Linked DNA regions of Bombyx mori. The main gene of each other region encodes a partner of the protein of the gene in region 2 in a complex. Links are inferred from orthologs where the notes say so. Each region holds a gene or a part of one and is shown on either strand. Other genes may lie near its edges. The genes, in order: protein CWC15 homolog, splicing factor 3B subunit 2, U5 small nuclear ribonucleoprotein 200 kDa helicase, pre-mRNA-splicing factor ATP-dependent RNA helicase DHX16, serine/arginine repetitive matrix protein 1, E3 ubiquitin-protein ligase RNF113A and pleiotropic regulator 1.

Evidence for each region.
Region 1: splicing factor 3B subunit 2 (region 2) and protein CWC15 homolog share a complex: the UniProt entries of both Homo sapiens proteins name them as parts of the minor spliceosome. The link is inferred for Bombyx mori from reciprocal best matches to the Homo sapiens genes SF3B2 and CWC15.
Region 3: splicing factor 3B subunit 2 (region 2) and U5 small nuclear ribonucleoprotein 200 kDa helicase share a complex: the UniProt entries of both Homo sapiens proteins name them as parts of the minor spliceosome. The link is inferred for Bombyx mori from reciprocal best matches to the Homo sapiens genes SF3B2 and SNRNP200.
Region 4: splicing factor 3B subunit 2 (region 2) and pre-mRNA-splicing factor ATP-dependent RNA helicase DHX16 share a complex: the UniProt entries of both Homo sapiens proteins name them as parts of the minor spliceosome. The link is inferred for Bombyx mori from reciprocal best matches to the Homo sapiens genes SF3B2 and DHX16.
Region 5: splicing factor 3B subunit 2 (region 2) and serine/arginine repetitive matrix protein 1 share a complex: the UniProt entries of both Homo sapiens proteins name them as parts of the minor spliceosome. The link is inferred for Bombyx mori from reciprocal best matches to the Homo sapiens genes SF3B2 and SRRM1.
Region 6: splicing factor 3B subunit 2 (region 2) and E3 ubiquitin-protein ligase RNF113A share a complex: the UniProt entries of both Homo sapiens proteins name them as parts of the minor spliceosome. The link is inferred for Bombyx mori from reciprocal best matches to the Homo sapiens genes SF3B2 and RNF113A.
Region 7: splicing factor 3B subunit 2 (region 2) and pleiotropic regulator 1 share a complex: the UniProt entries of both Homo sapiens proteins name them as parts of the minor spliceosome. The link is inferred for Bombyx mori from reciprocal best matches to the Homo sapiens genes SF3B2 and PLRG1.

What each region holds. Positions count from the first base shown.
Region 1 is NC_085110.1:8,228,380-8,232,532, forward strand, and holds the end of protein CWC15 homolog, read right to left. Parts: 5' UTR 4,092-4,153; coding exon 3,961-4,091; intron 3,705-3,960; coding exon 3,425-3,704; intron 3,209-3,424; coding exon 3,104-3,208; intron 1,084-3,103; coding exon 946-1,083; 3' UTR 735-945; downstream 1-734. Other genes in the region: protein 60A, read right to left, coding at 1-154. UniProt on the Homo sapiens protein: Involved in pre-mRNA splicing as component of the spliceosome. Component of the PRP19-CDC5L complex that forms an integral part of the spliceosome and is required for activating pre-mRNA splicing.
Region 2 is NC_085131.1:3,909,592-3,913,580, forward strand, and holds part of splicing factor 3B subunit 2, read left to right. Parts: intron 1-118; coding exon 119-269; intron 270-1,657; coding exon 1,658-1,861; intron 1,862-2,409; coding exon 2,410-2,485; intron 2,486-3,697; coding exon 3,698-3,854; intron 3,855-3,989. UniProt on the Homo sapiens protein: Component of the 17S U2 SnRNP complex of the spliceosome, a large ribonucleoprotein complex that removes introns from transcribed pre-mRNAs.
Region 3 is NC_085130.1:11,240,459-11,244,447, forward strand, and holds part of U5 small nuclear ribonucleoprotein 200 kDa helicase, read left to right. Parts: intron 1-429; coding exon 430-581; intron 582-1,066; coding exon 1,067-1,199; intron 1,200-3,310; coding exon 3,311-3,458; intron 3,459-3,900; coding exon 3,901-3,989. UniProt on the Homo sapiens protein: Catalyzes the ATP-dependent unwinding of U4/U6 RNA duplices, an essential step in the assembly of a catalytically active spliceosome. Plays a role in pre-mRNA splicing as a core component of precatalytic, catalytic and postcatalytic spliceosomal complexes.
Region 4 is NC_085110.1:11,481,918-11,485,906, forward strand, and holds part of pre-mRNA-splicing factor ATP-dependent RNA helicase DHX16, read right to left. Parts: intron 3,740-3,989; coding exon 3,603-3,739; intron 3,167-3,602; coding exon 1,603-3,166; intron 943-1,602; coding exon 540-942; intron 455-539; coding exon 233-454; 3' UTR 1-232. UniProt on the Homo sapiens protein: Required for pre-mRNA splicing as a component of the spliceosome. Contributes to pre-mRNA splicing after spliceosome formation and prior to the first transesterification reaction.
Region 5 is NC_085128.1:8,258,007-8,261,995, reverse strand, and holds part of serine/arginine repetitive matrix protein 1, read right to left. Parts: intron 3,933-3,989; coding exon 3,805-3,932; intron 2,750-3,804; coding exon 2,655-2,749; intron 1-2,654. UniProt on the Homo sapiens protein: Part of pre- and post-splicing multiprotein mRNP complexes. As a component of the minor spliceosome, involved in the splicing of U12-type introns in pre-mRNAs. Involved in numerous pre-mRNA processing events.
Region 6 is NC_085108.1:7,585,688-7,590,251, forward strand, and holds the start of E3 ubiquitin-protein ligase RNF113A, read left to right. Parts: upstream 1-1,531; 5' UTR 1,532-1,781; coding exon 1,782-1,875; intron 1,876-3,145; coding exon 3,146-3,297; intron 3,298-3,848; coding exon 3,849-4,001; intron 4,002-4,564. UniProt on the Homo sapiens protein: Required for pre-mRNA splicing as component of the spliceosome. As a component of the minor spliceosome, involved in the splicing of U12-type introns in pre-mRNAs. E3 ubiquitin-protein ligase that catalyzes the transfer of ubiquitin onto target proteins.
Region 7 is NC_085129.1:1,617,390-1,621,915, forward strand, and holds the start of pleiotropic regulator 1, read right to left. Parts: upstream 2,939-4,526; 5' UTR 2,710-2,938; coding exon 2,594-2,709; intron 2,307-2,593; coding exon 2,179-2,306; intron 1,705-2,178; coding exon 1,468-1,704; intron 1,049-1,467; coding exon 962-1,048; intron 440-961; coding exon 354-439; intron 1-353. Other genes in the region: uncharacterized protein LOC101740918, read right to left, coding at 3,962-4,430. UniProt on the Homo sapiens protein: Involved in pre-mRNA splicing as component of the spliceosome. Component of the PRP19-CDC5L complex that forms an integral part of the spliceosome and is required for activating pre-mRNA splicing.

The DNA.
Region 1 (4,153 bases), on a different chromosome or scaffold from region 2:
CATGTTCTACTACCATGCGCTCGTGTCGTGTAATCGTATGATGAATTATCGTCTGATCAACACCATTGTCAATGTAAAGTCCGGAAAGTATGGCATCGGTGACCACAGTAAACAATGCAAAACACGCACACACCAACTGCACAAAACCAGCCATATTCGTTGTGAGAGCGTCTGCGACTGGCTAGTGGCGAGTTAACGAGATGTGAGACGCGTCATGGCCAGCCGCGGGATCTAGCTGTGGACCTGCCCACTCAAGGTAGGCCGCCGCCGCCTGCTCCGCACTTACCACTGCCTCCCCTCTCACGCCTCACTCACAACGCCGCAATAATAAAAACATTCAACTTCGCCGGACACGTCAGTCTGGTCAGTCCGAACTCCGAATGTTAATAAGTTAATTTAATAATTATTTATTACTACCATTAACAATGCAGTTATGTACTTTAACGGGTGGCGTATTGATTATCAAATCGGGGCAGTAAGTTTGAATTTTTTGTAAATTAATCTCTTTAATACCTTCCCTAATTTAGTTTGGATACCCCAACTACCAAGATTTTTACCACTGAAACTCAGAAGTTGAGTCTCAAATTTCGAACCCGAAAGCAATGTTCGTTGTTATATGAGTAAATTAGACACATTATGCTAATGAACTGACCTCTATCTGTTGTTGAGGAAACAAACATTACTTTTTATCAGTAACGTGACATTAACTTGAAAATAAACTTTATAAAATACTATTTGTTTTCATATAATTTATTCAAAACAACAAAATGACATTTTTTTCATAATATTTACTAAAATTATATTGGTTTTCGTCAATCTTTTCTTTACGTGTTTGTAATATCCATAGTAGCATTTCCACTTCGTTATCACTATTCCGCTTACAATAAGGTATAGAATCGCTTTTAACAACTTTAAATTTAGAATTACAATATCAATAATGATTTACTATTTCACGTACTTTTCCATAAATTTCTTATGGAACTCTGATCTTAATGAGTCATTTATAAAAGTATTAGGTTTCTTTTCCGGTTCAGAACGAGCGCAATTTTTGAAAACAACGTCATCATCCCATCTTCTTTTTACCTGGAACAACCCAAAAAAAATATAGATATAATATTACGATTGTCCTTTTTTTTTATTTGCATAAATGGGTGTACGAGCTCACAGCCCACCTGGTGTTAAGTTGTTATTGCAGCCCATAGACATCTACGACGTAAATGCGCCACCCACCTTGAGATATAAGTTCTCAGGTCTCAAGTATAGTTACAACGGCTGCCCCGCCCTTCAAACCGGAATGCATTACTGCTTCACGGCAGAAATAGGCTAGGGGATGGTACCTACCCGCGCGTACTCACAAGAGATCCTACCACAAGTCGTTACGCAAATTAAAATTTGCAGGTTTGATTTTTATTACACGATGTTATTCCTTCACCGTGGAAGTCAATCGAGAATATTTATTGAGTACGTATTTCATTAGAAAAATTGGTACCCGCCTGGGATTCGAACACCGGTGCATCGCTCAACATGAATGCACCGAATGAGTTATCCTTTAGGCCACGACGACTTCTTAAATTCTTCTTAATCGACCCTCATAGATGAAGGTTGTGACTCTCATAACTCAGTCAGTCTCTCTCTAATGATATCATGTAGAGGCCTAATGACGAGTTGTGCTGAGTGGTGCCTCTGGGCGTTCCAATACCGGATTCATCCAATGCTTGAGCAGATTATGTTAATGTTCTTAAAATCACTTTCAATTACTTTTGCATTTTTGTATGGTATTTATTAGTGGGTGTACAAAATCACAGTCCCTGTGGTGTCAAAACAGCAACCAGTGTTTATAGAACCGAAAATGTAAAATAATGAATCAACCAAAGTCTAAATGAAATTATTTAATAGTCTTGAATCCTCAATATCTGCCGCTACATATGCATAATGAAAGGAAAAATAATTTTTTTGTGCATTATTAAAGTATTCCCTGTGGAGTATCAATGATATTGATTCAAATACAAGTAAACCGAAAACAATAGCAACAATACGTTTTAATAGTTATTTTTATAGCATAGATAGGTGAACAAACTTATGGCCAACCTGGTATAAAAGGGTTATCTGGTAGTTGTCAGTATACTTCACCAATGAGATATCAAAACAGATACTGATTGAATATTATTTGCACATGTTTCAATACACATCATATTATTATCATATGGCAAGGATATCTAAAATACCAATACACAACAAAAGCTCTGAATAATTATAATCTAAGTGAGACCCAAGTTTATAACCACTTAACACCAAAAAGACAATGCTAGACATACTTGGAAGAATGAAAAATAATATCTTGAAACAGATTTGAAAAGTACCATAGTGTACCAGAACAGAAACATACAACACATACATAAACATACAAACACATAAATATGCCATAAAAAAAGTAAAACACAGATAGTATTGTTACTATGGAATAACAAAATAACAAAAACAAAACACCAGCAAAACAACAAATGCCAATTAAAAGATGCATTTAAATTATTTATCAAGATAATCCTGGTCAATGTGTAATTTAATAATGTAGTATCATGAAACTGACTAGCCAGAATGAAGAACTTGTACTACAACAAATGAATACCTACCCACTGCAGAAACTAAAGGTCATCTACACTTTTTTTATTCCTTTGATGGGTGAATTAAGTTCATGGCCCATAGAAATCGACATCTTAAATGTTGTCACCCACTATGAGACATGAGTTCTAAATATCAGATTTTATACCAAACGAAAACACATTACTACCCCATTCTACTGCCATTCATTAAGCAAATTATAATTTTGGTGGGTTCGATCTTTATTAAACACTATTTGTTCATGATGGAAATCATTTGTCAATTTACGTTAAGTATATATTTCATTACCATTGGTACCTGTCTGCAGGATGAGAGCACCGGCACAGTCACATAGCTTTATACAAATGCACCGGGAGTCTTTATCTTTTAGGGCACAATTACTTCAACATTGATAAATACAACATCAATGACATCTGCAGTTCAGTTCAATCACCAAACAGTTATCAGGAGTTAAAACAAAATTCATTTTAATGTTTTTAATTACCTTCATGTCATTCTTCTGTCCTGCAGCGGAGTAGTTGAGTAAAGGATTACCCGATAATATGTTCTCCATTCTAATTCTTTCCTCTTCTTGTTTCTTTTCAGCTTCCTATAAGGTAAAACAAAATTGATTTGTGCAACAAGGTTTATTTGTTATTTGAATTTTATTTAGTTTGGGTATCAAAATACACTAAAGTACACTAAAGTTAGACAAATTAAAAAAAATATATATTGTAAAATTTAATTTAAACATACTTTGTGTACATCAGTACAAAAATAGTCTTATAGTATAGTATCTAACTCTAGTATCTAAGATATATCTTACTTTTTTAGCTTGTTCAATGGCCCTTTCCTTCTTAATTCTGTTTAATTCTGCTAGCAATGCAGCAGTATCATCATCTGAATCATCAGAGTCAGTGGAATCGCCTTCAAGAGGATCATCAGCATCAAGACTTGCTGCAGGAACTTGATCAACCTTAGTTCTTTTTGCTTGTGGTTCACTTGTACGTTTTGTAGTCGTAGTTTTAACATCTTTTTCTCTATCATCCAACTCCTTACGAAAATCACGAGAGCGTAATTCCTCAGATGTCCCTTGACCTGATTCCCTATTAAAATAGATTTTAATATTTGACTTTTTCTTTACATTTTGGTGCATTACAAACGTGGTATTTATGCTTTGAACGAGTTATACATTGTGGTTTTGAAGGGTAGCGTATTTTCTAAAACAATAATTCAAGTACTCTACCTTGTCTCAAGATGGCTTTTTATGAGGTCCGTTAAGCACTTACCACCACGCGGGTCGTAAGTCCAACTTCGCGAATAGGAATCCAAATTTAGATCGAGAAATAAAACTAAACTAACCTGTATTTAAGTTTCGTATGACCAGGAAGATCTCTGCTGGAATACTGTCGAGAAATAGCACTTAAGTCTTTCTCTCCTCGGCCTTGACCACCTCTTGCAGGATCAAAAGTGGGTCTAGCAGCTGTAGTCATAATGAACGCTGGTGCTGACTTGATGAACGGTGATTTTATGTCTTGCTATTGTGCTTGTATAC
Region 2 (3,989 bases):
CGAAACGCATTACTGCTTCACGGCAGAAATAGGCAGGGCGATGGTACCTACCCGCGCGGACTCAAAATAATATAATATACTCAGATCATATTTGATTCTCATATTGTTGTATTTATAGATGGCAAACAAAACCGCGTATGACAATCCACGGAGATCTGTACTACGAAGGCAAAGAGTTCGAGACTCGTCTGCGCGAGAAGAAGCCCGGAGATCTGTCCGAGGAACTGAGAACTGCTCTCGGTATGCCCGTCGGGCCCGGCTCACAGAAGGTATCGTTAACGTGAACATGTCAATGATGTTGTCGGATTGTTGTGGATTTTTGTTTAAAGGATTTTATGACGTGGGTGGGTACTAAGACCTTTAGGTTATGTCTTATTTTAATTTATATTCTTATTTTTATGAAAAATGATAATATAGAGTGAAATGAAATAAAGATGATTGATTTGAGACGTAAAAAAAACTGGGATGAAATAAAATTAAATGAGGTGAAATATAATCTCTCTTTTGAAGTCGTCGTGGCCTAACGGATAAGACGTTCGGTGCATTCGTGTTGAGCGATGAACCGATGTTCGAATCTCAGGCGAGTACCAATTTTTCTAATGAAATACGTACTCAACAAATGTTCACGATTGACTTCCACGGTGAAGGAATAATATCGTGTAATAAAAATGAAACCCGCAACGGCTTTGTTTCATTTTCCTACATTTGTGCACTTTCACATATATTAAACAGTTAATAAACTACTGTTATTACACATTTAAACATGAAGAAACACTAAATAGACAAAATAAAACAAAACACACAACTTCACTCCTCGCGTTCCCGCCAAAAAGTCTCGATTGTTGTGGATAACATCTTATTTCATAATACGCGCGATTGTGGAGACCATTTCAACATATTAGCTGGCTGCAACGTCTAGGCAGTACCAATCGGAACCTATTATCGCTTCGTAGCAGAAATAGACAGGGTGATGGTACACGTCTGTGAAAGGTTAAAATTCTCGGAAAGTTGTTCTATGTTAATTGACACAGTTACTCGAAATATAGTATATAAAACAGATTTTTTTTCATCATCATCATCATCATCATCAACAGCCCACAGTCGTCCACTGCTGGACATAGGCCTCTCCCAATCTACACCACTGAGCCCGGTCGGCGGCTCTCCTCATCCACTTCTCAGATTTTTTTATTCAAATGTAATTAATAATTCCCCTGGTTGATTTATTCGAATCTAAATGGTACTAAGTTAATTGAAATAGTACAATAAATTTCCCAGTAACAAATTTAATATTTCTGAAGTGAAAACATTACATAGCTATGTAATAAATATTTTAATTTTAAAACATTTTTATATTTAACTAGGTGTACCCGTCCGCTACGCTGGGCATTTAAAATTAACATTACTATTTCTCACCCCCACAAAGATTCTCATCATTAACGCCCCCGCAACTGGTGTAGGGAGTCCAATACTCATATAAATATTAGCCTATCCATTAAGTACATGTATTGTCTACATGGATACCAAGTTTCATGTCGATCGGATGCATGGTTCAGTAGTTATAACGGAACATCCGTAAAAACCACTGTAGATTTATATATTAGTATAGATTATTAAATACAATATTTGCTAACGAAGGACATTAAATGTATTTTTATAGGTACCACCGCCGTGGTTGATCGCGCAGCAGCGGTACGGGCCGCCGCCCTCGTACCCGAACCTCAAGATCCCCGGCCTCAACGCGCCCATACCCGAGGGGTGCGCCTTCGGCTACCACGCCGGGGGGTGGGGCAAACCGCCCGTCGACGAAATGGGAAAACCGCTCTACGGAGATGTCTTCGGACATCAGACGAGTGGACAAGATGTGAGTTGGACTTTGTCATACTTTTTTTTTTAATCCTCCTTTGCTGATAGCCTTGAGAGGCTATATCAGCGTCGCCTTAACTAGTAGGTGAGCTCACGGGGCTCAAACCTGATGAATTTTGTTATACTACGTTGCGGATGAAATATTAATGTCGTGTGGCAATGATAATAAGGCTCAAACTCTTGCAACATATCCGTAGAAACTTTGACTTTTTCAAAGATGATTCCTTTTTTTTTCATTTCTTTCCCCTATTAAATATTACAATAAACTCATATTAAATGTTCTGTGCAAATCTCTGAATAATTTTCTGAATTAATCTCATAATTGTCAACATCACATAATAATTAATTGACCGTCTATCTCATATTAAATGGTTACCAGAACCTGTAGATATCATAACGAGAATTCTCCTACCCCCTTTGCGTACATACAAGACTAAAGTCTCAATCATGTGATACCTCATATTGCAAATTGAAATGCACAAATGAATTATCTCATAATAAGTACATAATGTTAATGTAATTTATTGTTTAATCTTAATTCTCTAGGACGGCGAAGACGTGGACATCGACAGGACAATGTGGGGCGAACTGGAGTCTGAATCAGAAGAAGAGTCGGAGGAGGGTCAGTATTTGGGTGCTCTTTTTTTCTTTGATTGCACGTATGCGGATCCCTCGGAATGATTTGCAAATATTGCACTAATAATAAATTAATATTCAACCCTTACAACCCTTATCGAGGGGCGAAAGGTTATTTGCTTCAAGCGACATTTCGCAAATTTACAGGAGAGCCATTTAAAGTTTTAAACTGGGAAAAGATATCATAAAAAATCAAGCTTTTTCAGCTATTTGAATGGAGTAAACTTAATTGAAGTCCAAAACATCGAACTGTTGATGCTAATATCAAATAAAACGCATCTTTAATTGCAAAGATAAATGAGTCGACTATTATCAAAGCCGGCAATCTGACTTTTGGATAATTATTGGTAAATCAGAAAAACGAATTATTGACTTTGTATTCCATTGGCAGTCACAAAACTCTTCAGAAAGACATCTTAGATAAATAACAGGTTAACTATTAACCTTTATTTAATGCAGGTTTTGAACCGTATTCTTTGAAGGAGACGATTATATTCAAATCAATCTGTATTGACATATCAATAATTTTTTTTTGTCCAAATGCACAGATTGCCACCTTTGATAATAGACGACTCAAATGTCGCTTACACCAAATAGCCTTTTACCCTTCAAGGTGGGCTCCCGGCCCGTCGAACGTGGCAATCCATAGCATATCACATAGATCCCGCCGGCGACACGACCGCCGGTCCGGCGTCTGGGGTACGGCGGGATGGATGTAATCTGTTATGCGTAAACCCTGTCCCGCCGTCTCAATAACTCCAACTGGGCTCCGGCCTGGTCCGAGGTAGGGCGCCGGCTGTGAGCGGCAGGAGTTTTTAGTGAGGTTCAACTCCCACATAACCCACCCGCTGCGCGGATGGGGATCCGGCGATTTTCTCCTGTGGAAAAAAGCCTTTGATATGTAAATAATAAGAAAATACGTTTTAAAATTTCGTTAATTTTTCACGAATTCATACAATTAATGTAAATCTATTTCTTTCTTCCCGATCCGGAGTACTACGACTTTGAACCGAAATCATTAATATTTTTTTTAAGTGATTTTATGACCTGGTAACTAAGACCTTTAAGTCATAAAGTTATTAATTCATTGTTAGTGCGATATTTGAAAATAATTCCGCATGGCGATTAATCTGTCAAAGTCGAATAACATTGCAATGAAAATGGTGAAAATTTCGTCTTGAATGTATGCTGTATACAGAGGAATCGGGCGAGGAGGGCGAGGCAGAGATGGGCGGGGTCGGCACTCCCGCGGAGGGACTCGCCACGCCGCTCGGACTCAGCTCCGTGCCGCCCGGACTCGAGACTCCCGACAGCATTGAACTCAGGAAAAAGAAATTGGACTCCGATCTTGACGGGTAATTCGTTTTGAGTAAATTCGCAATTTTGGCGGGAATGCGAGGAGTGAAGTTGTGTGATTTGCTTTATTTTGTCTATTTAGTGTTTCTTCGGGTTTAAACGTGTCATAACGGTGGTTTATTAACTGTTTAGTA
Region 3 (3,989 bases), on a different chromosome or scaffold from region 2:
CTTCATTTCATTTCACTCCATGTTATCATTTTTCATATAAAAATAAGAATATAAATTAAAATAAGACATGACCTAAAGGAATTAGTTACCAGGTCATAAAATCACTTAAAAAACAAAAGATTCTATACTAGCGTTTTTCATTTATGCCTTAGACCAGGGGTTCCCAAATTTATTTTCTCTACTGCCCTACTTTGAGAATAAATTATTTTTTTGCGCCCCCATTATTTCACCTACTTAAAAACCACTATAGCGATAGCTCAGTCCTGCTAGATTATAAGTTACAAATCGCTTCCCAAGCCTCTATATAACGCCCCCATTTTTTTTTCTGGGTCTCTTACCGCCCCCCTTTAGGCCTGCAGCGCCCACGAGGGGGCGTTTACGCCCACTTTGGAAAAGGCTGCCTTAGACGGTGTTGTCACTAATTTGCAGGCACCTGTCGGACCACCTCTCCGAGCTGGTGGAGACTACGCTGACGGATCTTGAGCAGTCCAAGTGCATCGCGATAGAGGATGAAATGGATGTCCAGCCACTGAACTTGGGGATGATAGCCTCATACTACTATATCAACTATACGACCATAGGTAACCTGGGCTTCTTTTTTTTAACTGTTTAAATGGGTGGACGAGCCCACCTGGTGTTAAGTGGTTACTGGAGCCCATAGACATCTACAACGTTAATGCGCCACCGATCTTGAGATATAGGTTCTAAAGTCTTAATATAGTTACAACGGCTACCCCACCCTTTAAACCGAAACGCATTACTGCTTCACGGCAGAAATAGGCGGGGTAGTGGTACCTACTCGCGCGGACTCACAAGAGGTCCTACCACCAGTAGAAACTCCTTCTCTCGGGACTGTTCCTCCACCTAGAGCCGGATCCGCTGGTGTATCGTATATGAAAGGCTCATGAGGGATCAGTCTTGCTTCGAACAGCCTTATAGCATCTTGGGAAGACGGGAGTTGATCATAGCGTTCCCACAAATATTGTATCAAGTCTTGAGTGAATTTTATTTATAAATTTTCTTAGACTTCAAGGCGATGATTTAAAAAAAATGTTATTTCTTTCAGAACTGTTTAGTTTGTCTCTGACGAGCAAAACGAAGATCCGCGGCCTGCTCGAGATAATATCGTCGGCGGCCGAGTACTCGGACCTCTGCATCCGACACCGGGAGGAGAACATCATCAAATCTCTCGCCTCCAAGTGAGTACACGTTCGGTTTGTTCGTCATCTTCATGTCATTCTTCAAACGCAGCGGTCGGGGGGAACCGGGGTGAATTACCCCCAAATGGGGTAAAATGAAATTTGAGGGGGGTAAAAATAAAATAAATAAATATTTAATAACAATCACGCCACGTTAACTGGTCCCGTGCTAAGTTCGTAAAGAACTTGTGTTACAGGTGCCAGATAACGGAAATAAATGTAAGATTTTTATTATACACATACATATATTTAATATACATCCATAACCCTGGAAAAGACATTTATAGTATTTATCATACAAAATATCTTCCTTTGGCGGGATTCGAACCCGCGACCCTCTTGTGTAGTGACCATGTCACTTACCACTACACCAGACGACCGTTTGAAACTTTTGTGAGTAAAAAGTATATACCTATCATCATTCTACTTATGCAACAAAGTGTGGAGGCAGGGAATCTGTAAATTATGCCACATGTTTAAATTTAGGTATTATTAGATTATTTTTTTATAGATTAGTTTATATTATTTTAGTTTTAGAAGTTTAGTTTATTATTTTATAGATTAGATTAGTTTATAGATTAAGAGTCATTCCCGATCCTGCGGACAGAATGGAAAGCAGTCGACGTCGCCCAAAACACGTCATCTCGGATCCTCCCGATCCACTAACAGTGCTGTTAGGTACAATACCACAAGCACCGGTCCCGGTCGAACCCGTCGCTTGCGACCAAGGGCTCGACGAGTAAATTAACTCTCAGACACAGCCCACTGAGTTTCTCGCCGGATCTTCTCAGTGGGTCACGTTTCCGATCCGGTGGTAGATTCTGCGAAGCACGGCTCTTGCTAAGGTTCGTGTTAGCATCGTCGTGAGGCTTGAGCCCCGCGAGCTCACCTACAAACGTTAGGGCGAAGCTGAAATAGCCTCTCAAGGCTATCAGCATAGGTAGGCAAAAAAAAAAAATTAAGATTACAGGCAGCGGCAGAATAACAGCGATAGTTTCAGCTATCACAAAGCTGAGCCGCGCCCTTTTTATCTCCACTGTCAGTTTAATTAATATATTGTAATATTGTTTAGATAGAATTAGAAATTGATGTCATATAAATTGAAAAGTTATTTGTATTGTGGAGTAAATAAATGTAATTATTATTATTATTATTATATTGAAGTGAAACTTCTTTAGAATCGTCAAATTTTTACTTATTGTTTTCTTTTCAAAATTATCATGGGGGGCTATAATATGAAAGAGGCTAAAAAGAAGCGATTTCGTTTTTTTTGTTTTTTTGTTCTTCACCATGGGGTAATTAATATCAAATTACACAAAAATATTTTGGGGTAACAATTAAAAAAGTTCCCTGACCGCTGTTCAAATGAGATGGAGGGTACTCACTCGGCATTGCTGTCGATGATCGAAGGCTACCTACAACAGACCTGTGAGATCAATATTTTTTCCTGTGAGATCATTATTATTTATTTTTCATTTTTTAGTTGAATTTTAATCTTTTTTTTAATATTGAATTGTCATCGGTCCTTAATAAGTATACCAAATTTCGAGTTAATCCGACGTTATGAAGGGGGGTCAAAATCATGTTTAAAGATTCCGTTACAAACACACATACGTCTGAAGCTAATAAAAGCGTATGAAAAAAAACGTGTGCAATTCACACGTGTAAGAAGTGAAACCTTCAAAAATTAAAATATTCTAAATATTCTAAAATGTCTAAGTATATGTAAAATTTTGTTAGTTGTTTTTTTAGTTAAAATTTCGTTAGTAAATAATTGTAAATCATCTTTTATAGTATGAGGTAGTGCCCTCTGTGAATTGATATTATAACTTCACGTCTAATGTGTTCTATCTCGTTCTCTCGCCGGCTGAATCGTATACATTTATTTGTTTGTGTCTCTATGGACTTATTTTTTCGTTTCATCGAGTTTCAAATCACGACGATTCTAAAGAAGTTTCACTTCAAAATAAGGATGGAGTCGAAAAGTTTTCCTACGTTTGCCGCTAGGGGCGCTGTTCTAACTGCATACAAAATTAAGTTAACTTTTACGCTATCGAGAACATTGACGCACTCGCACTGAGCATCCCCCCCCCTGTCCCCGTCCGTTGCAGGGTCCCGCACAAGCCGACGGCCCCGTCTGGCGGCGCCGTGCGGCACAACGACCCGCACGTGAAGGCGCACGTGCTGCTCCAGGCGCACCTCTCCAGGATGCAACTACCCGCCGAGCTGCAGGCCGACACCGCGCTCGTGCTCACCAAGGTACGATCTTTGCACTCTCTTTTAACCCTTCGACTGCCATGTATTAAAGGTCCAGAGCGCCCTAGGCAATCACTTTATCTGCGCCCCTGTACCGGCCATAAATGGCCACCATAATAGTGTAAATATAAAAATGAATTGCTGTTCGTTAGTCTCGCTAAAATTCGAGAACGGCTCGACCGATTGGGCTAATTTTGGTCTTGAATTGTTTGTGGAAATCCAGAGAAGGTTTAAAAGGAAGATAGATAAATATGAGAATGCTTGGAATTAAATAAAAATAACAATTTTGTTTTTATTTTGATTTGTTTGTTGAGACACTACGAAGTCTGCCGGGTCAGCTAGTCTAGCAATGAAAAAAAAACACCGCGCGACAGATGGCGTGCGCGTTCGCTGTCAACAAACGAAAGCATCGGTGCAGCTATTCAATAGTAGTGATTGTTCCCAGGCGCTTCGGCTGATCCAGGCGTGCGTGGACGTGGTGTCCAGCAGCGGGTGGCTGGCGCCCGCCGTGGCCGCCATGGAGCTAGCCCAGAT
Region 4 (3,989 bases), on a different chromosome or scaffold from region 2:
TGAGCACATTTGCCATAAAACAAACGTGTCTTGAAATATCTGCGACATCATTTTAAATTTTAACAAATTATAGATGATTTTATCATAAAGAATTACCAACATTGGTTCTACATTTAAATCACAAGGAAGTGTAAAAAAAGTGGAATGTCGTGTTATGAAAACCGAAGAACAGGATCAACAATAAACGGAGAAAGTGGAAACTTTTATTGAATCTACTGTAATCAAATTTTTACTAATTTTTTGCAGATTTCCCCAATGTTTTGGGCATTTTCTTATTTGTTGAATCTTCTAATTCCTTTGATTTGTAATAATGAGGCGCTACCTCCAGTAGCCATTTGCTCTCAATTTCGGTGACTTGTCTCATAAATTCTTTAGATGTAAATACAAGCTCATGGTAAATCACCCATCGTGGAAGGTCTTCAAATAGAGCACTATTAGGATGTATCATAACTGTCTGAAAGCAATAAATATATTTGGATAGATTTATAAGAAAAAGAAAAAAACATTATTTTAACTATCAAGATTTTAAGTTTCGTTACCTGATTATGTTTTACAGTTTTATAATGACCACCTTTTGAAAATTTTGCTATATGATAGAAATAACCAGACGTTATAGCCTTTCTTATATTAGTATCATCAGATAAACTTGTAACCATTTCAATTTCTACCCTTTCCATCAGGCTGACTAATTGTTCACGAACATCTCGAGCTCGTTTCATCGATCTATACTGCACGAAGTTTTCATAACACCACTGCACCGAATAATCTGAAGCAACCCACTGATTGTATAAGTTCATAATTGTCAGATGATCTCCTTTGTGATGAAAGAAATTTTTTCTTGCTGTATCTGCATGGATTATTTTATCTTTAGGCCGGTAGAAGACGGAGCTATTTACTGATAGCATTGCTGCAATTGTGACAACCTCTTCAGAACATTTATATCTGTAAGACAAGAAAAATGTGAGAATTAAAGTGATTTTGAGACAATCTGAACTGCTTTTAATTAGAGGGTATGAGTGGACGCGTTCGCATTTATCAGCTACTAACTACTTCTTCACCCACAATCTGTAAGTCTGTAGTATAAAGTGTGGAATAAAAGTTTTGTTGATTTGATTGTGTTGTACATTAGTTATAATAAAATTATCGATATCTCCACAACAGCTCTATCACTAGTCATTATACAAATTTATAAAATTTACCAGGTTATTACACAATGTAAATCCTTCATTCCAGATGCGAATGTTGAGATAGATGTGTGGAGTGACAAGAATGGATAAGATGAGGAATAAGTATATCAGAGGAAGTATGAAAGTAACCCCGGTAATTAACAAATTAAAAAGCGGATAGTTAGCGTGGTATGGACGTGTGATGCGTAGAGAGAAGATGCATGTGACTAGGAGATGTACGGAATTGGTAGTGCAAGGTAGAGAGGAAAGAGGTCGATCGAAGAAGACGGATGGAGTGTGTGAATGACGATATGAGAGAGAGAGAGAGTAGTGAGTGTTGAGCTGTTGGCTGATAGTAAGATGCAGAAAAAGAAGAAGTTAATCCTTCATTATGAAAGTTAGTTATGAGAGAATGACTTATGTTTACATTACTTACTTTTCACTAGCTAACAACATTTTCGCGAGCATGGGGTCGGTAGGAAATTCAGCCATCCTTCTGCCTGCTTTTGTTAACTCTCCATGATGATTAAGTGCACCCAGAGCGTAAAGTTGTTCTAAAGCCAAAACTAATGTTTCATGCGGTGGTGGATCCAAAAAATCAAAATGTATTAGATCATTGATGCCTAAAGCTTTTAAAGTGAGAACTGCATTTCCTAAATTTATTCTCTGAATTTCTGGTACAGTATTATCTTCTAATTCATATTTATATGCCCAGGCTGTGTACAATCTAAAACATTTTCCAGGAGCAACCCTTCCGGCTCGTCCAGCTCGTTGATTTGCTGATGCTTTAGAAATGGGAACAACAATTAAACTTTCCATGCCAGTCTTGGAATTGAAGTTGTTTTGTTTGGCAAAACCTGGGTCTATTACGTATATAATATTATCAATTGTCAATGAAGTTTCAGCTATATTTGTAGCAAGAACGACTTTTCTAGCTCCTTCAGGAGTTTGTTCAAAGATTTTAGCTTGCATGTCACTAGGCAAATTGGCATATACTGGTAATATTAAAAGCTCGCGCAGTTTTTTGCCTATACGCTTCGTCCTTTCTTGTAACATTTCAACACATGTTTCAATCTCTTCTTGTCCTGTTAAAAAAACCAATATATCACCAAGAGGTTGTGTGGCATGAATCTGTAATACTGATACAACACAAGCATCTACATAATCTGCTTCGGGTGCCTTTGTGTAATAGATGTCCACAGGAAATCTCCTTCCCGGGATTCTAAAAATTGGGGCATCTTCAAAGAATGTTGAAAATTTCTCAGCATCCAATGTTGCGCTGGATATAAGCAATTTTAAATCAGGTCTAAATCTGGTTATATCTTTTACAAGACCAAATAATATATCTGTATGTAAGGTACGTTCATGAGCTTCATCAATGATCATTACACTGTATGAGGCTAGATCAGGTTCTGATAGAAACTCTCTATGAAGAGTTCCATCTGTCATGTACTTTATTACTGTTCTATCAGATGTGCAATCTTCAAATCTTATACTATAACCAACTTCATTTCCCAGTTTTACGTTCATTTCTTGTGCAACTCTTGCAGCAACTGACATAGCAGCTACTCTCCTAGGTTGTGTACACCCAATTTTTTTCCCATCTTTAGTGAAACCAGCTTCATGGAGATATTGAGGTATTTGTGTTGTTTTGCCAGATCCTGTCTCACCTTCTACAATTAGAATTTGATAATTTTGTATGGCTTCAATAAGTGATTGTTTAAACGCATATATTGGAAGTGATTTTTTTGTTTCTTCAATGGTCATTCGAATTTTTTGATATTCTGATATTTCTGACTTTTCCTTTTTGTCTTCAGAACCTTCCATTTTAAGAGCCTGTATGAAATCAATTTGTTCATCCAGTAATAAATCATATTCATTTGTAGCTTTAGCATCTTTTGCACCAAATTTAAAGAAAGCAGATTTAATTTGTTCTTGTTCCCATTTTTGCTGTTCAGAATGTGGCAACCTCTCATTTTCATCAACTTCAACATATTCACCTGTAATATACAATTAGTAGGTTATATACAAGATGTACAAGCAAATAATTTATTACTGATTACAATTTTTTAATTATTTTCTTTTGTTTTGTTGATTTGTAAATTTTGAAATTTTAAAATGAAAGTATTGGATGAGAAATAAACAATATAGAAATTTAAGACCAAACTGAATATTTGAAACTTCACAATTAAACTCTATATGATTTACCAAACAACATCATTAATAAAATGAAAATATTTCAGAAATTTTGTTCATAGCTTGAAAAACTTTTTGTCCATAATTTAAACCTTCATTTTATTAACGTCAGCTAAGTTTTTTTCATCCCATAATTTGAAATACATAATTAAATATTTTACATAATTAAATTTCTCTTAAGGTTTGAAGCTTTGTTTAGTTCTTCATTTGAAAGGTTTCTTTGTAATTTTGGATAATTACCTTTTTCCCCTTTCCCCAAGTCCCGAGGCATATGATATCTTTGAACATTTTCTAACTCTCTTGCTTTTTCATGTTCTTTAGCTAATTGTAATAAAGTTTTCTTGTGTTCCCTTTCTTCTTTTTCTCTTTTTGTTAGGCTATAAAGACAAATGATATGACACATTTTAAACTATTAATTTTGTTTTAACCAAATGCACTTTATAATAATAATCTTAAAATAAGTTATTTATAATTAAAATTTAAGTATTTTGTTTGGCTGTAATTTTATTGTTCAATTTCATCTGGTGTGAAATAATTAACAGAGTGTGTACTGAAATGCAAGGCATAATCGGACTTGGGACTAAAATTCAAGATCTGAATGTATTTGATAATGGCTTTGCCATTATA
Region 5 (3,989 bases), on a different chromosome or scaffold from region 2:
TCCTGATCGTCGAACGACGACCGGGTATCGAAGAGTTTGGCGGTATATGTCAGCAGATTGGGATGGATTGCGTGAATTTTACGCATCCTACCCATGGGAGCGGTTCTGCTTTTCCTCTGCTGATCCTGACGTCTGTGCGGACCGACTTAAAGACGTGGTGCTCCAGGGGATGGAATTGTTTATTCCCTCCTCTGAAGTGCCCGTTGGGGGTCGCAGCAGACCCTGGTATAACAATGCCAGCAGGGATGCTGCACACCTCAAGCGGTCCGCATACGTGGCATGGGATAATGCCAGGAGACGTCGGGATCCTAACATCTCAGGGGAAAGGCGGAAATATAACGCCGCTTCCAGGTCCTACAAGAAGGTAATTGCCAAGGCGAAGTCGGAGCACGTTGCTAGAGTTGGCGAGCGATTGAAGAGCTATCCCTCCGGGAGCCGTGCTTTTTGGTCGCTCGCCAAAGCTGCAGAAGGAAACTTTTGCAGGTCTAGTCTCCCACCACTGCGCAAGTCCGATGACAATCTGGCCCACAGCGCGAAAGAGAAGGCTGACCTTCTGGTCAAACTCTTCGCCTCGAACTCGACTATGGACGACGGGGGTGCCACACCACCGAGCATCCCCTGGTGTGATAGCTCCCTGCCGGATATCTGCTTCACACAGTGTGCAGTCAGGCGGGAGCTCCGACTCCTGGACGTTCATAAGTCGAGTGGGCCAGACGGCATCCCCGCAGTGGTTTTGAAAACGTGCGCCCCTGAGCTGACACCTGCGCTAACGCGTTTGTATCGCCTCTCTTATTGCACTAACAAGGTTCCGTCTTCATGGAAGACTGCTCATGTCCACCCTATCCCCAAGAAGGGTGACCGGTCGGACCCATCGAGCTACAGGCCTATCGCGATAACTTCCTTGCTTTCCAAGGTGATGGAGCGAATTATAAATACACAACTCCTGAAGTATCTTGAAGATCGCCAGCTGATCAGTGACCGACAGTACGGTTTCCGTCACGGTCGCTCAGCTGGCGATCTTCTTGTATACCTTACTCACAGGTGGGCTGAAGCCTTGGAGAGCAAGGGCGAGGCTCTCGCTGTGAGCCTTGATATCGCGAAGGCCTTCGACAGGGTCTGGCATAGGGCACTTCTATCGAAGTTACCATCTTACGGAATCCCCGAGGGTCTCTGCAAGTGGATCGCTAGCTTTTTGGATGGGCGGAGCATCACGGTCGTTGTAGACGGTGACTGTTCTGATACCATGACCATTAACGCTGGCGTTCCACAAGGTTCGGTGCTCTCCCCCACGCTTTTCATCCTGTATATCAATGACATGCTGTCTATTGATGGCATGCATTGCTATGCAGATGATAGCACGGGGGATGCGCGATATATCGGCCATCAGAGTCTCTCTCGGAGCGTGGTGCAAGAGAGACGATCAAAACTTGTGTCTGAAGTGGAGAACTCTCTGGGGCGAGTCTCCGAATGGGGTGAATTGAACTTGGTTCAATTCAACCCGATAAAGACACAAGTTTGCGCGTTCACTGCGAAGAAGGACCCCTTTGTCATGGCGCCGCAATTCCAAGGAGTATCCCTGCAACCTTCCGAGAGTATCGGGATACTTGGGGTCGACATTTCGAGCGATGTCCAGTTTCGGAGTCATTTGGAAGGCAAAGCCAAGTTGGCGTCCAAAATGCTGGGAGTCCTCAACAGAGCGAAGCGGTACTTCACGCCTGGACAAAGACTTTTGCTTTATAAAGCACAAGTCCGGCCTCGCGTGGAGTACTGCTCTCATCTCTGGGCCGGGGCTCCCAAATACCAGCTTCTTCCATTTGACTCCATACAGAGGAGGGCCGTTCGGATTGTCGATAATCCCATTCTCTCGGTTCGTTTGGAGCCTCTGGGTTTGCGGAGGGACTTCGGTTCCCTCTGTATTTTATACCGTATGTTCCATGGGGAGTGCTCTGAGGAATTGTTCGAGATGATACCAGCATCTCGTTTTTACCATCGCACCGCCCGCCACCGGAGTAGAGTTCATCCATACTACCTGGAGCCGCTGCGGTCATCCACAGTGCGTTTCCAGAGATCTTTTTTGCCACGTACCATCCGGCTATGGAATGAGCTCCCCTCCGCGGTGTTTCCCGAGCGCTATGACATGTCCTTCTTCAAACGAGGCTTGTGGAGAGTATTAAGCGGTAGGCAGCGGCTTGGCTCTGCCCCTGGCATTGCTGAAGTCCATGGGCGACGGTAACCACTCACCATCAGGTGGGCCGTATGCCCGTCTGCCTACAAAGGCAATAAAAAAAAAAAAAAAAAAAAAAAAAAAGTCTCAATTTTGTTATAATATACAATTTCGTTATAATATATGAACACAGTAAATATGAGTCGCCAAGAGTAATTGCATTGTATAACATCAATCCAACCCTTCAAACTGAAACGCAGGACTAGTTTGCCGCACAAATACACCGAATGGTGGTATCTACCCGTGCGGGCTTACAATACGCCCCATAACCAGTTAACAAAAGATAATGTAGACATTTTACTTCGCAACGATAACAGAAGCAAAATCTTACAATACAATCATATTTAAGTGAAAACAACACACCAACAAGTTTATTATGTTAACATTATCACTATCATTGTATTTTTATTTACGTCTACATTAACAGTACCTTTGGTTTCCGGTTCAGTTTTCGCAGGGCTGACCTTGTCTCTGATCGGGCTGCTGCGCCGTCTCGATCGACGCGGACTTCCGCCGTTACGATGCCTAGAGTAATTTTAATGGTCATTATCTTATGTCTAACTAGCTATCATCCTCAGCTACACGCTCCACATTTCGTACCTTTTTTTTCCTGTCTAAGCTGATGACCTTCAGAGACCAGCGTAACCTTAACAAGTAGGTGAGCTCACGGGGTCTCAAACCTAACCCTAGTAAGAGCAGTGCTTCGCAGAAACTATCACCGGATCGGAAACGCGACCCGCTGAGAAGATCCGGCGAGAAACCCAGTGAGCTGTGTCTATGGGTTAATTTACTCGCCGAGCCCTTCGTCGCAAGCGACGGGTTAGACGATGACAGGTGCTTGAAGTACCTAAAAGCTCCGTTAGTAGAACGGGATGATCCGACATGACGTGTTTTGGGCGACGATTTTGTACCACGTTGGGGGTGGTGACTCATACTCAGCAATGAGATAGATCAATGGTAGCTCTTTAACCATTTCCCAGGTTAAAACTAAAATTATGATTTTGACAGTTTTTTTTCTTATTAAATTATACATACGAATATATTTTGCTATTTAACAATTAACAGTACAAGAACACAATTTAAAAAATATTTGTAATTATCGTAACTAATTAGCAACACGCAATTTTAATAAAACAATATATACTACTACTACTCCTAATTAATCAGTTGACTGGCGATAAATAAATGTAATTCCGAATGTGCACAACCAACAGAAAATAGTCACATGGTGATTCTACTGCTCTTCAGTAGTAACCCCTTTTATATTCTATTTTACTCCATGAATAGACTAACTCGAATTTTACTAATTTAATATATGTATGACAGACAACCTTTACATTCTCAAAAATATATTCCAAATGCTTACTCCTTATCACTATGTGGGCATAGTGATAAACGGCGACTGTTACTCTGTTAATGATTTTAAGCGTTTAATTTCAGAGGATCCGCTATTCAACTAAGCACACTATTGTTTTGTATTATTAAATGGGCAGCATAGTATTAAGTATCCATGTGCAATCCACCCCTACTACCACCAGCAATGGATGCTGCTACCTGGAAAATATACGTCTACTACTAACTTTCTGTCACTGGAACGATCACGAGAACGAGTTCGCGAGCGCCGTCGGTCGCGAGAGCGGCGCCGGGAACGCGACCGGGACCTCGATCTCCGTCGCTCCTTGTCTTTGTCCTTGTTCTGCTGCTCCTCCTATTTCACGTAATGTGTTTTCATTTTACAACCAAAGTATTAATTTTCTTACTTATT
Region 6 (4,564 bases), on a different chromosome or scaffold from region 2:
ATAGTTTTCAGAATATTAGAGCTAGCTTATTTATAAAATTATGGCATCGGTGTCGGTCCTTGATGCGTGTTGAAATTTTCGAGTTGATTAAAAGTCTTGAAGTCGGCGAAAATGACGTTCAGAGACTTCACTACATACAGACATACATACAAATTTTGGACAATACTACCTACTCATCAAAATTAATCACATTTTTACAAATCACGAAAGGCGAGTATGAAAAGTATTCTGGGCTCTTCAGAAAAATTATCTCTTATCATACTACATAATTAGTGATCATTCTTAAATGTTTTTTGTGGCAGCCATTAATGGTGTATACAAAATAATTTATCTATGCGAGCACACAATACCTATACACAATTATTATTTTTACAGTTTGCATTTTATTACACGATGTCATTCTTTTATTGTGTTTCATAAATGTGCACTTCTCATAACGGTCATCTAAGAAATACAAAACGGGGCCGCGTTGCAGAATACGGCAATATTAAGCCTGACAAGTGACAAGCAATCAGTGAGCGCTGTAACCTGTGACGTTTTAATACAAGGATCGATAAAACTAGACTGAGTTTTTTGTGCATTCCTTAAAATATCAAGTCGTCGTGCCCTAAAGGATAAATCGTCCGGTGCATTCGTGTTGAGCGATGCACCGGTGTTCGAATCCCGCAGGCGGGTACCAATTTTTCTAATGAAATACGTACTCAACAAATGTTCACGATTGTCTTCCACGGGGAAGGAATAACATCGTGTATTAAAAATCAAACCCACAAAATTATAATTTGCGTAATCACTGGTGGTAGAACCTCTCGTGAGTCCGCAAGGGCAGATACCACCACCCTGCCTATTTCCGCCGTGAAGCAGTAATGCGTTTCGGTTCGAAGCGTGGGGTAGCCGTTGTAACTATACTGAGACCTTAGAACTTATATCTCAAGATGGGTGGCGCATTTACGTTGTAGATGTCTATGGGCTCCAGTAACCACTGAACATCAGGTGCGCTGTGAGCTCGTCCATCCATCTAAGCAATAAAAAAAAAATTACACCCTAAACCTTTTAGCATTCAATATTTCCAGTTTGTATGGTAAATTATGATTCCACTTCCACTTTATTTCAAGGCAGCTAATGACTTTATTAATTTATCTATTTATTATTACTATAAAAGAGACATGAACATCGTGATAAGAATAGTGTTTATTATGTCCATTACAATGTTTGAGTTTTAACTCTGGTTTCAACTTTTAACAGTAGTAGTAGAAAGGGCTTAAGTGTGAAAAAAAAAAGAATTCCTCAATGTGGCTGTGTGGCTGCTCGGGTCCCTTCCAAATTGCCTAGAAGCCTCAATAAGTCTCCGCTAATTTACTGACAGGCTATTTTATTTCATCTTATACAACATGTACGGCTTTCTCTTATTTAACCTTATTATTCCATATGCTAATTTAAGTTTTGATTTAACTTCAGGCATTGCTATAAATGTTTAAGCTATGTTGTATGGGCAGTATTCCCTCCATTCAATAGACAAATCATAGTTTAAAAAAACAACTATCCGTCAAAATCAATCACATGTCAATGTTAAAAATGAGCATTATTTTGATCATTGCCAATATTATCATGTTGTGAAATGCAAAAATTAATTAAAAACCCTATAAATACCGACAATACTTGAAGGTCCTAAAGTGAAATACAGTACTTTTATTTAGTATTATTGTGTCCTCATTAATGATTATGTAGATATTACTCTAATATCGTAGTAAGCACACACTAGGTTGAATAAACAATCGTTCAAAATGTCAGACGCCGAAGTGGAAGTACTCAGTACTTTTAAAAAACGTAATATTAAGAATAGGGGTGGCAGAAAACGTAAAACTTCCAGTTCAGAAGGTAATATTGATCGTTAAGTTATTAAATTATTCTCCAAACGAAAGACATCTAAGAATAGTACATTAAAACTATCTCATCGCTTCTTCATATCCTCTTTCTCACTGTTCCCAGACCCCCGTATTATAAGTGCTTTTATTAAGTGTATAACTACTAACTATAAAATTATAATTATATGTAGCGCATTATTCTCTGTACATAATCTTTATTATAATATGTAAGTTTGTAGTAACATTAATTTTGTGTTAGTCCCAGGCACCATTAATATAGCCAAAATTGGATACTTTTTATAATATAAAGTGTGTTTAAATAGCTCGACAATGTTCCATATGTAGCCATAACACGACACTGGCAGAAATTGCTGGCAGAAACTATCGGCAGATTACCATTATAAAAAAAATATATCGACGCTTGAAAGGCAAAAGTGACTAAGCGACAATAACTGCTTTGCACATAAATGATAGGCAATAACCATATTCGATCCGCAAAAAATATATATTTCTAGGTCTATTAAAATTATTTCAATCCTACAGCTACTAGCTAGTTTCTACTACAACTGGATTCGTTAAAATAAATTTTGTTTTCATGTATTTCAACTTTAAATTAGTCTACCGTAAAGTTCACGCATTGTCGCTTAGTCACGTTTGCCTTTCAAGTGTCGATATATATTTTATCATATGAGGCCGTCAGCGCAAAAGCAGCCTAAGCGTACTATAGTTATTATGGAGCAATGAGGCTTTAGTTTTCATGAATTTGAATTTGAGTTGGCAAAAAAAACAATATGCGCTAAAATAATGATTACAAAGCCATCTGCTTTCTATGGGTGAAACTATGGATAGGCCGGTTTTGCATAAAAATTTATTATATATTAAATAAATTGCAATATACATGATTATAAGCATGAAAAATTGTGGGTTAGGCCACTTTTGCGCTGACAGCCTCATATATACTTGATATTTTTTTTTTTTATAAATATAAATATTTACTAACAATCACTCCACGTTAACTGGTCCCGTGCTAAGTTCGTAAAGAACTTGTGTTACAAGTACCAGATAACGGAAATAAATATAATATTTTTATTATACACATATATATATATATATATATATATATTTAATATACACCCATAACCCTGGAAAGACATTTATATTTATCATACAAATATCTTCCCTTGGCGGGATTCGAACCTGCGACCCCCTTGTGTAGTGACCATGTCACTTACCACTACACCAGACGGCTGCTTAATATATAATTTAATATAGTAACGTTTCAGAGAAAAACAGCTCGGACTCTGATGAGCAACAAGTAGTTCTACCAACGAAAAGGGTGAACAAACCAAATCCAAACATACAGTCTACAGGAGGTCCGAAGAAATCCAAAATTGATGTAATTGAAGATAATGATGATAGTAATGATGAAGAAAAGGTATAGTAACATTAACAGCTCATCATCATCATCAACTCACTTGGATATCATCAGATTTGATAATCTGATCTATAATGAGATCTGCACCTTTGAAGCACCAGATATAAGATATCATAAACAGGCTGTTGGTCCATCTTGTAGAAGGCCTACCCACACTTCAAATCTTCACATACTTCATACATATTTAGATATATAATAGCCACTTGAGAACTTTTGGTTCCAACAGCCTGCTTGCTGCCATTTCAGCCTTTCGGGTTGTCTTTTTTTATTCCTTAAGTTCTTAAGTGGTTACAGGAGCCCATAGACATCTACAAAGTAAATGCCGCCATGCATCTTGAGATATTTGTTAGTGTCTCAGTTATATCTCCACTGAAATCAATATTATCAACAATTAGAGCAGTTTATCTTTACTTAAATCTGGCACACATCTTTTTATCTCTTTAATCTTTTTACACGTCATCTTTATGTTGAAGTCTTGTCTTCTGTATTGAACATAAAAAAAAACCGTTTTAAGATCCATTTAGATCAACATAAGCTTACAATTCTTTCAGACTTCTCAAAGGACAACACTATCGGTTCAACAACAGAGAGAGAATGCAACAGCTACCTATGAATTAGACACAGAAAAGGATAGAGATGCCCAAGCCATCTTTGAGAAGGCTCAGAAGATCAATGAAGAGTTGCACGGACAAGCAGATGATAAGGTATCCATTTCTTCTTCTTCTTCTTCTTCTTTGTCGTTTCCTCATTACTGAGGATCGTGACCACCTTGGTCCAGTTTTTGCACCAGCTTCCTCCAATGTTGCCTGAGGGAGAATGCGGGAGGGACAGCGTAACCGCTCTAATGTTAAAGAGCCTAGGCTCGGATGGTACCAAGATTTTACACTCCATTTGCCAGAAAATATGGCGTACTGGCCAGTGGCCTGAAGACTGGACGGAATCAATGTTAATTCCTCTCCATAAAAAAGGCTCCACGCGCAAATGTGAGAACTACAGGTATCCATTTAACAGTATTGAAATCGCACACTTCGTGGTTACTTTAGTGACAGTTAGCTTATAATTTTTTATATGGTTAATACTTATCAACCATACCGTACTAACTTCCATACCAACTTCTGCATATCTTAATAAATTATAATAAAATATGTGTGTAATTAAGTTGGTTCTTATTGAGTGCCTCCTCAAACCTGGCTAGTCAACAAAGTGTAAATGTCTGTAATGCTACACTGGAACTTAGTAATACTAATAAAGTTATAAATTATTGGTC
Region 7 (4,526 bases), on a different chromosome or scaffold from region 2:
ACAACGAACCGATCCTAAATACAAAAATTCATCTGCTTTATATACATATAATTATATGGAGTATTTCAGAATGAATAAACAATAATGAATTAGTTGTGGTTTCTGTGATATAGTAAGAAAGCAACATATAAAGCCCTTAACCTCAATTAAAGAGTAAACAGTACATATTATTAATAATAAACTATACAAAACTGAACTCTCTTTTTCACTTCACTCCATGACACTGAATAACACTGAAGAAAAATCCTTTTTAAAATCTAAATAGTTTTAAATAATAAAAGTTTTCTTTACATATATTTAAAGACATATCATTTAACCTATATTTTTTTGTTATTTATAGGTCAATAACTCACTTTGTTATATTCTAAGTCCCAGCACTTCACCTGTCTGTCCTCACCGCAGCTGAATAAATATGGATGTCTTGGTGACACTACCACTCCTGAAATAGAATATATTCATATTACACATACTGGTACTTGATGGATTCTTAGATCATGATTTTCACAATTAACATAGACTCAACCTACGGTCTCTGTGCGTACAACATGATGAAATATCCAGAACTGTGTTAATGTGAAAATTATGATCAGAACTTGTTATGTAATTCTGTAATATACATAGCAGCAAAAGTTTGAAAAAATTAAAAATGTCTACTATTACTAAAATAAAAAATTACTAAATTAATTAAGGAACCGAAGATTGGGTTTAGTGGCGAGCTTTGGGGAGGCTTATGTCCAGCAGCAGACTGCCGCAGGCTGATGATGCTAAAAAAATTACTAATTTAGTAGGCAGCGGCTTGGCTAAGCCCATGGCATTACTGAAGTTCCTGGGCGACGGTAACCACTCACCATCAGGTGGGCAGTGTGCTTGTCTGGGCAATAAAAGAAAAATGCGTTCATTATTCAAAATCTGAAAACCAAGCATTGATTTTTGCATGAATACAAAAAGTGTGCGCACCTACCTCTTACTGTACTCACATGTCCAGTGAGAGATACTTTTAGTTTCCCACTTGCTAAATCCCATACTTTTATCACTCTGTCAGCGGCACCTGAAATATCAAAACCATCATGCAGATTAATTCCTTAGGATTGGTTTTATTGTAATGGTTGTGCTAAAAGTTCATTATAACAGAAAAATGAAGTAACTTTAATCATAAATCAAGTTTATTTTTTCAACCGTTCATAGGACAACAGCTTGTCTACACAAATACAATATATTGATTATCTAACTGTCAAAGTTTATGTTTTGTGTTGTATTGATAAAAAAGTCTTATAAATAAGTATATTTAATATGTAAAAATCAAACTTTATATTAATAAAATTTTTAAGATTGACAAATTTGTAATTATAATTCTTACCACATATCCTTCTTCTAATTTATACTAAAAGGATTAAATATATTAGTTAAATGTTGGCATATTAGATGCCATTAGTTTGCTCTGTATGTGGTTTCTATAATTTTACTTACCGGTAGCAAACCACTCATTTCCAGGTTCTACAGCAACACATCGAACCCAACCCAGATGACCTGATATAACACGCATTAATTTCCAGGGTGGGTGCCATTTTGGTTTGGGCATAGACGGCGGTTTCCGTGGTACAGTTAAAGCCCCCGAGGGGGGAGCTGGTGACGGTGAAGGTGTTGGTCCAGAGTATGGGACAACAGCCCCTTCCGACGGCAAAGGTGCAGTTTCCACTGTTTCTGCTAAAGAAAACATTCGATTTATTTCATTGCAATATCAAGGAGTATTGGACCGATTTTTTATTGAATGTAATGAGCATAGAACTCATGAGGTCCACAGCTAAATTCTTGCTGTTTTTTTATCATAACGAAAATGCAACTTTGTTGTAAAAAAAATTCCATAAAAATGAATAATTTTTTTTTTGTTTCTGTATTTGATCCATATTTCTGGAATGTTCTCGATTTTTGTAGAGATATCGTATTGACTATAAAAGCGTTGCAGAGATGACATGAAAGCAGTTATTAAAAGGATCTACTCAAAGCGAAACAGCAAACGGATCACCTGAAGCGAAGCGGAAGAAGTGAATTACGAATTGTAAAGTGTTTGGTAAGTGTTCTTAGTTTTAAATAGAGTTTTAATATGTACTTCAGTGGAAGTTTTATTTATCCTGAGCCTAAGCGCTTAACCGTATATAGGAGTTTGTTAATTGTTTTTACCTGTGGTCAGTGGAGTTTCAGGTCTACAGGTGACAGACTCTTGTTGTTTCAGGGCCTGAGCCTTCCGCACTGCACCCATGACTTGTCCGTAACTATCTCTTGCTTTAACCAATTTCAGTACTTTCTCTCTGTTAATGTAAAATTATAAATAATAATTATCTACTCTAGTGTTTTATGTAGTTATACATAACGTGACATTTTCCTCTAATTTATTTACCTTGACAACATTGTCTGCTCCCATAAAGGTTTTCTCCAGTACAGTAGAAAGTTTTAAAGGTTTAGCAGAAATTTTTTGATACGGAACAACAAATCGCTTAGTTTGTCTATTGTACCGATCTTTGAAATAGCTCATCGATTATTTCCATTAGGACTTGTATTAAACTAACCTCAAATAATATTATTCTGTTTTACTTACGCTTTATCGTCGATTGGCGGCAACATTCCTTGATTAGCTAGGAACATATCGTGCGATCTTTTCAACGATCGAAACACTAAAGTGTGTACAGAATGTTTAATCACGTCCTCAGACATTATGAAGTTATTAATTAATGTCTAAAATTACTTAAAGAATACGAAATACTATTAACTTGTAATATTAAATCAGCATTTAAATTCAATTTTATTTTTAATTAATGCATATTCCTTATGATTCTTACGAAAAGCTTTTTGGTTTTAACGGTGTCGAGACCAAGAAATACCCGACAACAAACAGCAACAACTTTCCTACAAAATAAATCCTACGTCAAACAAACGTCAAATGGACGGTATGAGCAGCGTCACTGTCAAGTGTCACTGTACAGATAATAAAAAATTTGGGCAAATGAATGCAAATCTCGATTAGCCTGCAACAAACATAATTATTATGATTTTTTGAAATTACCATTTTAATTGTTTTAAAACAAACATTTTAAATTCCTCTTATTGAGCTGAAATACTAAAGGGTATTTGAAGAAAAAATTTATTGTTTGTTGTTTATGCTTGTTGTGACGGATAGAAAGTACGGATTTGGCTCAGAATTTTATCAATAATTTAATTAGAGTTTGCTCCTAGAAATGAAAAAAACACTGTTTACACAACGTCGATTTTATTCATAAGTACAAAATTCGAGCATAAAAATTCATTGCGAAGAAAATTGTGGAATTGATTTTCAATAAAATACACAGTGGACTATATCTATATTTACCTCTAAATTCACAAGTAGGTACGAACATGACTAGAAATTGTGCTTACAGACTAGAAACTAGACTAGATACAGCTGCTCACTAGTTTTCGAATATTTATTGATTTAATGATAGCTATTTGTTATGTTAAATTACATACAATAAACATCCTCCAAAGTATTATTTACATTGTACAGTGTGCCTGGTGCGAGTTGTTTTAACTTCTCGATCGTGTAAAAGTTACTCAAAATTGTATGGAGCTGGGGCAGTTACTCTGCGTTTGCCGCTAAAGGCGCTGTTCCAACTCCATACAAATGGTACTAAGCACATTGTACTGTTCAACACACAGACTTGGAATACTTAATAAGTGCATACACAATATTTACATAAACACACAATTACCGTAAAAGAGCATTTTAGTATTTATGAACGAATGTTAATCACTGAACTACCAGAAATTTCGACGACGATTTTTCAAAACTAAAAAAGCATTACACTCAGTGAAACAAGAGTCAATAGTACGGTTGTTAAACGAGACGGTCAACGTTCGAATTTTCAATCGACTGCCAATCGTAATCGATTTCAGTTGTATCGGCGACGGAGAATACCGCGCCACTCTCGGTTCAGATGGCCGATTTCTCTGGATTATTAGCGTCGCTAACGCGGCGGGAGTGGGGCGCGCGGCGCAGCGTCCTCGGCTGAAGGTTCAGAGGAGGCAAGTTGGGGCGTTCGATCCTGGTTGGCGATGACACGAGCGGTCTCGTTCTGCGCAGCGTCTCGATACCGTTACGGAAGTAGTCCTCAGCTCTATCGCTGTAATTTTCTATCAGGGGCGCCGGGTCTTCGTATTCAACATTGAAGTGACGGGTGATGGCCAAGTCTTCGGGTGGGCCGAGTTTGTAGAGAGGGGGTTCGACGCACTCGTAGTGGTGGTCCTCCGTATCGTCGTGCGGGTAAGTGTCGGCGACAAAGTGTCTCGTGCCTCTCGGCGTGAGGGCCGCCCACAGCACTCGTGAATCCAGAGCCGGGCCACCGTATAATGCGTTGGAGCCACTGGCTTTCGCTGTACCGCTTTTGCAGCCACCACGAGCCCTGAAAACCGAATTAGATTAAGTAATTAGATACCTACTCGTGGCTTCCATAAATGGTACCGTTATATGGCGTAAAAAACAACGTCATTTAGGAACT